Linked DNA regions of Danio rerio. The protein of the gene in region 2 binds, or shares a complex with, the protein of the main gene of each other region. Links are inferred from orthologs where the notes say so. Each region holds a gene or a part of one and is shown on either strand. Other genes may lie near its edges.

Region 1 (4,183 bases), on a different chromosome or scaffold from region 2:
TATATTAAAACATTACATCCAGATACACAATAAATAGATTCTTATTTACATATCACTTTGCATGATAATGTCATTGCGTAATAACAACTCAAAACAAACAACTTTATATAGTATACAAAATAATTAATGTTTTCTCAAATTGACTGGCCATCTCAGCAAAAACATTATTTGAAATATGTCCATTTAGATGTTTATGAAAAATAAAGTAAACTACATTTGGAACAACAATATGGACTATTTGTAAAAGTAATACGTTCATTTTCTTTTCGGCTTAGTCCCTTTATTAATCTGGGGTTACCTCAGTGGAATGAACCGCCAGCTTATCCAGCATGTTTTTATGCAGCGTATGCCCTTTCAGCCACAACCCATCACTGGGAAACAACCATACACACTCATACACTATGGAAAATTTAGCCTGTACCCAATTCACCTGTACAACATGTCTTTGGACTGCAGGTGAAACCAGAGCACCTGGAGGACACCCACGTGAACACAGGGAGAACATGCAAACTCCACACAGAAACGCCAACTGACCCAGCCGACGCTCGAACCAGTGACCTTCTTGCTGTGAGGCGACAGCACTACCTACTGCGCCACTGTGTCACCAAAAGTAATACAATTATTATTTTTTGTATAACACTGATAGCGAACAGTTACATTCTTTTAAACAATCACAGCTTGTGTACTTACTCTTTTTAACTTGTGAAATTAACACATTTGTGAAAGTGACAACAATTATAGTACTATTGCATTTTATTGCCACCTAAATTACCAACATTCATACATGTTAACAAATATCTTTAAATTAACAGTTATGAAAAACAATCTGAGCTAGCAATTTACTCTACTGAGTGAAGCCTGCAGCCACTGCTCCTTTGAGTCACTGTTTAAAAAAATGCTAAAAGTAGACAAATGAATGTTAAAAATTGCTACATTTGTTGCTAGTTGCTTTTCGAAAAAAAAAAAAAGTTGCTAGGGTAGTATGAAGAGTTGCTAAATCTAGCTACACACTTGCTAAATTGGCAAAACTTTGTATAACCACAGAGCATAGAATCACCCAGAGGTGACATTCTAGTACAACTTGGTAAACAGCCACTAGATGGCGCGGCGGCCATTTTGGAATAAAAACTCCAATAGAACAACAGCAAATTATGTCTGTAAAATAAACTATTTAAAGTGCTGATGATTGTCATAGTAAGTGTTGTATTGTCGTTTTTCGGGTTGTATCTCACCTTAAATTAGCCTTTTAAATAAATCATTGAAAAACAAATCAGCTGCTTGCCGCCTCAAATTAACACTGTATCGCGCTGTTCGTCCAGCAGGGAGCGCTGACGCGCCTCGGTTTGGTTTGTGACGCGCTACTATTAAACATCACGAAGAAGCGCGAGAGCGAAGCGGCAGTGAACATGGCGGAAAACAGGGAGAAAGGTTTACAAGACTACAGAAAGAAATTACTGGAGCATAAAGAGATTGACGGGCGCCTCAAAGAGTGTAAGTTCGATGTTTTTCTGTTCACGTCAGACTGTCATTGAGCAGTTTGACATCTTCATAGGCTGTTGTTTGCGTTATCTCAGCAGCCTGTACTGTAAGTCGCTTTGTCATGCAGTGCTGAAATCAATTAGCCGCTAATGGTAACAGCTGAAATAATCCATAGATCCCCTTTAAATTCATAATTAGAGACACACAACATGATTATACGTATCTCCCGATCTGAAAACATCATATATTATAAAAAAAGAGCCTTCAATACAGCTGTTTTCCAGTATCATGCTATCTCACGATAACATTTAGCATCTCTGACACATGAAGCTGATGGAAGTTGAACTTAATGTTTGCACATGTAAATAAACGCTCTGTGTTGCAGTGAGAGAGCAGCTGAAGGAGCTCACTAAACAATATGAGAAGTCTGAGAATGACCTGAAGGCTTTACAGAGTGTGGGGCAGGTAAGATCTGCTCTGTAAATCATTGTTTTTCTTATTTCCACATTAGGGATTTGACTATATCAGTGCATTTATAACGTTATTTAAATTGTTGCATTGTCTTTGTAGATTGTCGGTGAAGTGCTGAAACAGCTGACTGAGGAGAAATGTAAGGCCAGATTCTCTTTATTGAGCTGTAGATAATTATAGTTTGTGTCTATCTGTTCATTGTTTAATGTATTCTTCTTTTGCAGTTATTGTTAAAGCAACTAATGGACCACGATATGTGGTTGGATGTCGCAGACAGGTGAGCATGTACATGCATACGCGCACACATACAGTTTCAGTAAAAAGTTTTGAAAAAAATTACTTTTTTGTTACACTCATATTAGGTTTTCACTAATGATGCTGAAAATTCCAGTCAAATTATAGAAAAATACCGTTTTAAATTGTATCCACAAAAAATTAACTGTTCAGCTATTATATGTTTGTTAATCTTTTACAATAGTAGTTTATTGTATTGATGGTCAGATAAATCCATTATTTATCCAGCGATAAAACCATATGCAGATTAGAATTTTCAATATTAAAAAAGTAATATCAATTCTAAACGTGTGTGTGTGTGTGTGTGTGTGTGTGTGTGTGTGTGTGTGTGTGTGTGAGTAAAAGTAATTTTAGAACGAAAGAAATAAAGTAATCTCAACAGAGAATTTATTAAACTAAACATTTAGGTCCAGTCAACAAAGAGACATGTTTATTTGTATGTGTAAAACCTTTGTATCATATTGCTGTTTCGTCAAGATTGATCTGGTTTATAAATATGATGACGCACAAAACAGGGGCGGAAATGTGCGCACGCCACTTCTCACGCAAAAATACTGATCTATATTAACTTATTTACCTTAAGTAAAAATATTAAGTAAAATACTGACCTAAATGAACCACTTTAAATCATCATTTGAGCCATAATAATTTAATAAATAATTAAAAATTTTGTTCTAAAAGTATTCTGGTGTGAATTCATTTTTAGAAAGGTTTCTATGCAAATTTAGACTAGTTTTTTAATTTAATTATTTTTTCTTTTAAAGTACCAAAGTGGATAAATGTCAAAAATAGTTTGTCTACCAATAATGCCTTTTATTATGTCTACCAATAATGCCTTTTATGTATGTATGTATATACATACATACATACATACATACATACATACATACAAGTATATAACTGTTGATTAATATTTTCATTGGCTAAACTTACAAATACAATTTTGTGTCTTAAATATAACACTACAATAACTTACTATGTTCTGAACTGTTGTATGTTTGAACTCATGATATTTTCAATAAAAGAAGCCTGTGTTTGTTATTGAACTTAATATTGAGAAAAAAGACAAATGCTTCTAAAATTAAAATGTGAAAGTATCAAAATAAACACAACAGTATTTTGTAGAGAGATGCTTGTAAAGCTAATTAAAACCTAGATGTTTTTTTTTTCAGTTTGATATTTAAGTATGTTTTATATAGCTCATAATTGAGGAGATTTGCTTTTTTAAGTTGGAGGTCTAAACTAAAAATACCATGCAGCTTGGTGCAGTCTTTTGATTTTTAAATGTCAAAAGTATGATGGAAAATCTTTGAGAATGTAAAAACTGTTAATCTAGATGAATGAGATCTTGTATAACTGCAAAGCAGATTAATTAGAGTTACATTAAATAAATATAAATGTTATCAGTCTACTTCTTCGATTAATATGTATTTAGTTTTAATAGTGGACAATCAGGGAGACATGAGTTGTTTTCAGTCCAGTAAGGACTGAAAGGATCATTAACAGCCTAAAAGTTATGCTCATGTTTGATAAAATACATTAGTTTAAAGTGGATTTGTTTTTGTAATTGGGTACAGTAAGCTGTATAAAGATGGTAATAATAATGATAATGATGACAATAATAATAAGTATAATGTGTGTGATTTTTAAAAACCTATGTCTCATTATGTGCTCATATTTTCTTGTTTTTAGCTGGATAAATCCAAGCTGAAGCCTGGCACTAGAGTGGCTCTGGACATGACAACTCTCACTATCATGAGGTAAGTCTCTCTGCTCTTTGGGCATAAACGATCATCATTTAATGTTCAGATCTTTTTATTTTTATTTATTTATTTATTTTACACAATAAACTTATTTCTAAACACTTCTTTTTAAAGGTATTTGCCTCGTGAGGTGGATCCTCTAGTGTACAACATGTCCCATGAAGACCCTGGTAGCG
Region 2 (3,951 bases):
TGCTATTTTATTAGGTACACCTGTCCAACTGCTCATTAAAGCCAATTTCTAATCAGCCAATCACATTGCAGCAACTCAATGCATTTAGGCATGTAGACAATGGCTGTGTCCGAAACTGCCTACTACTAAGTAGGTACTGCATTTAAATTTAAACGTACTGCTCGGCCGTTAGAAAAGTACGATCTATACAGTATTAATGTGAAAAGTATGAATGGAATTCGGACGTACGACATCCGCCATTCTGTCATGGTCACATGACCTACCTGCGTCGGTTGCGTCACTTCAGTCCCATTCATAAACTCTCTCGCGGGGCATAATGGGGCACTATATAGTATGGAAGTATGCAGTTTCGGATGCAGCCATGGTCAAGACGATCTGCTGCAGTTCAAACAGAGCATCAGAATTGGGAAGAAAGCTGATTTAAGTGAATTTGAACATGGCATGGTTGATGGTGCCAGACAGGACAATCTGAGTATTTCAGAAACTGCGGATCTTCTAGGATTTTCACGCATAACCATTTTCAGGGTTTACAGAGAATGGTCCGAAAAAGAGAAAATATCCAGTGAGGGTCTTACTGGTTTGTCGGTGCAAATGCCTTGTTGATACCAACGGTCAAAGGAGAATGGCCAGACTGGTTTGAGCTGATAGAAAGGCAACAGTAACTGAAATAACCTCTCGGTAAAACCGAGGTATGCAGAACTCTGAACATCTGTGAACACACAACACGTTCAACCTTGAGGCGGACGGGCTACAGCAGCAGAAATCCACACCGGGTGCCACTCCTGTTAGCTAAGAACAGGAAACTGAGGCAACAATTCACAAACTGGACAACAGATTGGAAAAATGTTGCCTGGTATGATGAGTTTTGATTTCTGCTGCAACATTCGGATGGTAGGGTCAGAATTTGGCAGCAACATAAAAGCATGAATCCATCCTGTCTTGTATCAACGGTCCAGGCTGGTGTTGTAATAGTGTGGGGGATATTTTTGTGACACACTTTGGGCCCATTAGAACCAATTGAGCATTGTGTCAATGCCACAGCCAACCCGAGTATTGCTGCTGACCATGTCCATCCCTTTATGACCACAGTGTACCCATCTTGTGATGGCTACTTCCAGCAGGATAACACTCCATGTCATAAAGCGTGAATCATTTTCAGATTGATTTCTTGAACATCACAATGAGTTCACTGTACTCAAACGGCCTCCACAGTCACCAGATCTCAGTCCAATAGAGCACCTTTGGCTTTGGCATGTGGTGGAATGGGAGAGTCGCATCATAGATGTGCAGCCGACAAATCTGCAGCAACTTCATTATGCTATCATGTCAATATGGACCAAAATCTCTGCCGATTATTTCCAGTACATTGTTGAATCTATGCCATGAAGAATTAAGGCAGTTCTGAAGGCAAAAGGGAGTCCAACCTGGTACTAGTAAGGTGTACATAATAAAGTGTCTGGTGAATGCATTTTTTGATTGTCTAGAAATTGCGTCTTTGATTTAAGGATTTTTATGTAATTAGATTAAAAACAAAGTAAAAACTAAGAAAGATTTTTTTTTTGCAGATATACACCTGTTATTGTGATACATTTTCATTATTTACAAGCAGAAACAGTCAGCAGTTACAAGTTTTCAGCTTTCTTCAAAATATCTTCTTTAGTATTCAACAGAACAAAGAAACTCACAAAGGTTTGGAAGCACTCGTAATTGCGTGAACCATCCTTTTAATTCCAGGTGGAAGCATGGCATTGTATTCAGCACATCTGAAACATGTTAACAAGCATCGCACAACATTTTACTCACCTGCATCCAAAAGAACAGCCGTTTAGAGCCAGCCTTGAACTTCAGTACATACACACGTCCTGTAGTGCACTGGTTCACCCGTTTAAACTCACAGTCATCCGGGAATATGATCAGATCCTAAAACACAAAAATCAAGACTTAGGTACTGATATATTCAGCATTATCAACCAACCATTCACTGTAAACAGGCCTCACATCCTCCACATTTCCAGAGGTCCTGTCCTTCCAGCAAAAATGAATGAGTGAATCATCTGTCTGCTGGATGTAGACGGTGCCCTTGCGCTTGTCTGGGGTCACAGTGCTGCCCTTCAGGGTCATTTTACCAGCCCTGAACTCAACCAGATACTTGCTGGATGAGCTGCGGGATCCAGAGACCAGACTGGGGAACAGAGCTCCAGATGACATCTTCACTAAAGGGCACAAAACACAAACTGTTACACGTTTACAACATGACAGCACATTTAGACAACGTCTGAAGCCATATACACACACATACTTTTGTTCAAAATCTTAGAGCTTATCTTTGGAAACAACACAGTCAGTCAGCAAGAATTATTAGCACTCTAGTTAGCTTCAGGAAACATCAATTGACCTGCTTTTTGCGAAAATATACGCATGTTAAATTAACATGTAATATAATAGTATATTTGACATTGTTTCATATTAAAGTTTAAAAACCTATCTAATTTTTTATTGTCTGGCTTGTGAAACGCTACACTAGTTAGCATTAGCAGCCGCTTCAATATCTCCAGCTCCACCATGACTGCGCGTTTTGTTTCTGGTGCGTCTTTGAACAGAACATGCCGCTATAATTCATATATTTACAAAGCGAGTTAAAAGTAATTCATACCGCTGGATGAGTTTAGCCTTTCGTTGATTTCAGCAGCAGGTTTTGTTTTTTGATCCTGAGGGTTCGTTCTCTGAAGATTTGCAGATAGACTTACTGGTGAAAAGTGGAAACTAAGCGACTTCCGGTCTCCTGCTCGCCATGTTCCACAAAGGGCAACATCTGATTGGCTGAGGAACATGTCATTCAGCAGCTGCTGTGTCATTGGGTGCAGATGAAGATCCTTATTTTCTCTCTACAGATCTTCACCATGTAAATCGTCATGAAAACACTTTATTTTGTGAGTGTGCCGCTTGTATTCTTTCTTAGCCAAAGACTTGAAGATCCCCACATAGCAGTAAAAAAAAGTTATAATATTTAAGAATGGCGACACGGTGGCTCAGTGGTTAGCACAGTCGCCTCACGGCAAGAAGGTCACTGGTTCGAGCCTCTGCTGGGTCAGTTGGCATTTCTGTGTGGAGTTTGCATGTTCTTCCCATGTTGGTGTGGGTTTCCTCCGGTTTCCCCCGCCCACAGTCCAAAGACATGCACTATAGGTGCATAATAAGCTAAATTGGCCGTAGTGTATGTGTGTAAATGCAAGAGTATATCAGTGTTTGACAGTAATGGGTTGCAGCTGGAAAGGTATCCGCTGCGTAAAACATGTACTGGATAAGTTGGTGGTTCATTCCGCTGTAGCGACTCCTGCTTAATAATGATACTAAGTCAAAGAAAAATGAATGAATAAGTGTATAAGATTAATATTATATTATATTCAATCATCTCACCCTGACACTTTAGTCTCAAATGACAAAAACTTCCCACAAAACAGTGAAATCTATTTAAATTAACAAGAGATTAATTTATAACATCATTAATATATAATATTAATACATTTATAGATAATTTTTCATGAATAATGTAATTTTTACCATTCAAAACTTTAAAGAATTGCATTTCAGAGTATGTATATATATATATATATATATATATATATATATATATATATATATATATATATATATATATATATATATATATATATATATATATATAGGAATCTGAGAGTGAAATTCAATACCCTTTAAGACTTTTCTATACTTTTAAGATCTTATAACTACTTTTTAACACTGGCGAGATTTTAACTTATTTATTAAATATTAAGGCAAGAAATTAATCCAAAACTAAAACATTATTCATATACTGAATACAAATCTATTAAATCTTCTAAATTCAGCAGGTTGGCTCCTACAGATCTGCAGAAATAATGGTCTTGCCTTGAATACTGCGGTAAACAAAGCAGCATGATGTCAAATTTAGCA

What was found.
Region 1: adrm1 (region 2) and psmc6 share a complex: the UniProt entries of both Homo sapiens proteins name them as parts of the 19S proteasome regulatory particle complex. The link is inferred for Danio rerio from reciprocal best matches to the Homo sapiens genes ADRM1 and PSMC6.

Annotation. Positions count from the first base shown.
Region 1 is NC_133195.1:9,929,041-9,933,223, forward strand, and holds the start of psmc6 (26S proteasome regulatory subunit 10B), read left to right. Parts: upstream 1-1,383; 5' UTR 1,384-1,406; coding exon 1,407-1,491; intron 1,492-1,864; coding exon 1,865-1,944; intron 1,945-2,049; coding exon 2,050-2,089; intron 2,090-2,174; coding exon 2,175-2,227; intron 2,228-3,936; coding exon 3,937-4,004; intron 4,005-4,121; coding exon 4,122-4,183. UniProt on the Homo sapiens protein: Component of the 26S proteasome, a multiprotein complex involved in the ATP-dependent degradation of ubiquitinated proteins.
Region 2 is NC_133198.1:9,689,884-9,693,834, reverse strand, and holds the start of adrm1 (proteasomal ubiquitin receptor ADRM1), read right to left. Parts: upstream 2,801-3,951; 5' UTR 2,654-2,800; intron 2,214-2,653; 5' UTR 2,209-2,213; coding exon 1,999-2,208; intron 1,921-1,998; coding exon 1,804-1,920; intron 1-1,803. UniProt on the Homo sapiens protein: Component of the 26S proteasome, a multiprotein complex involved in the ATP-dependent degradation of ubiquitinated proteins.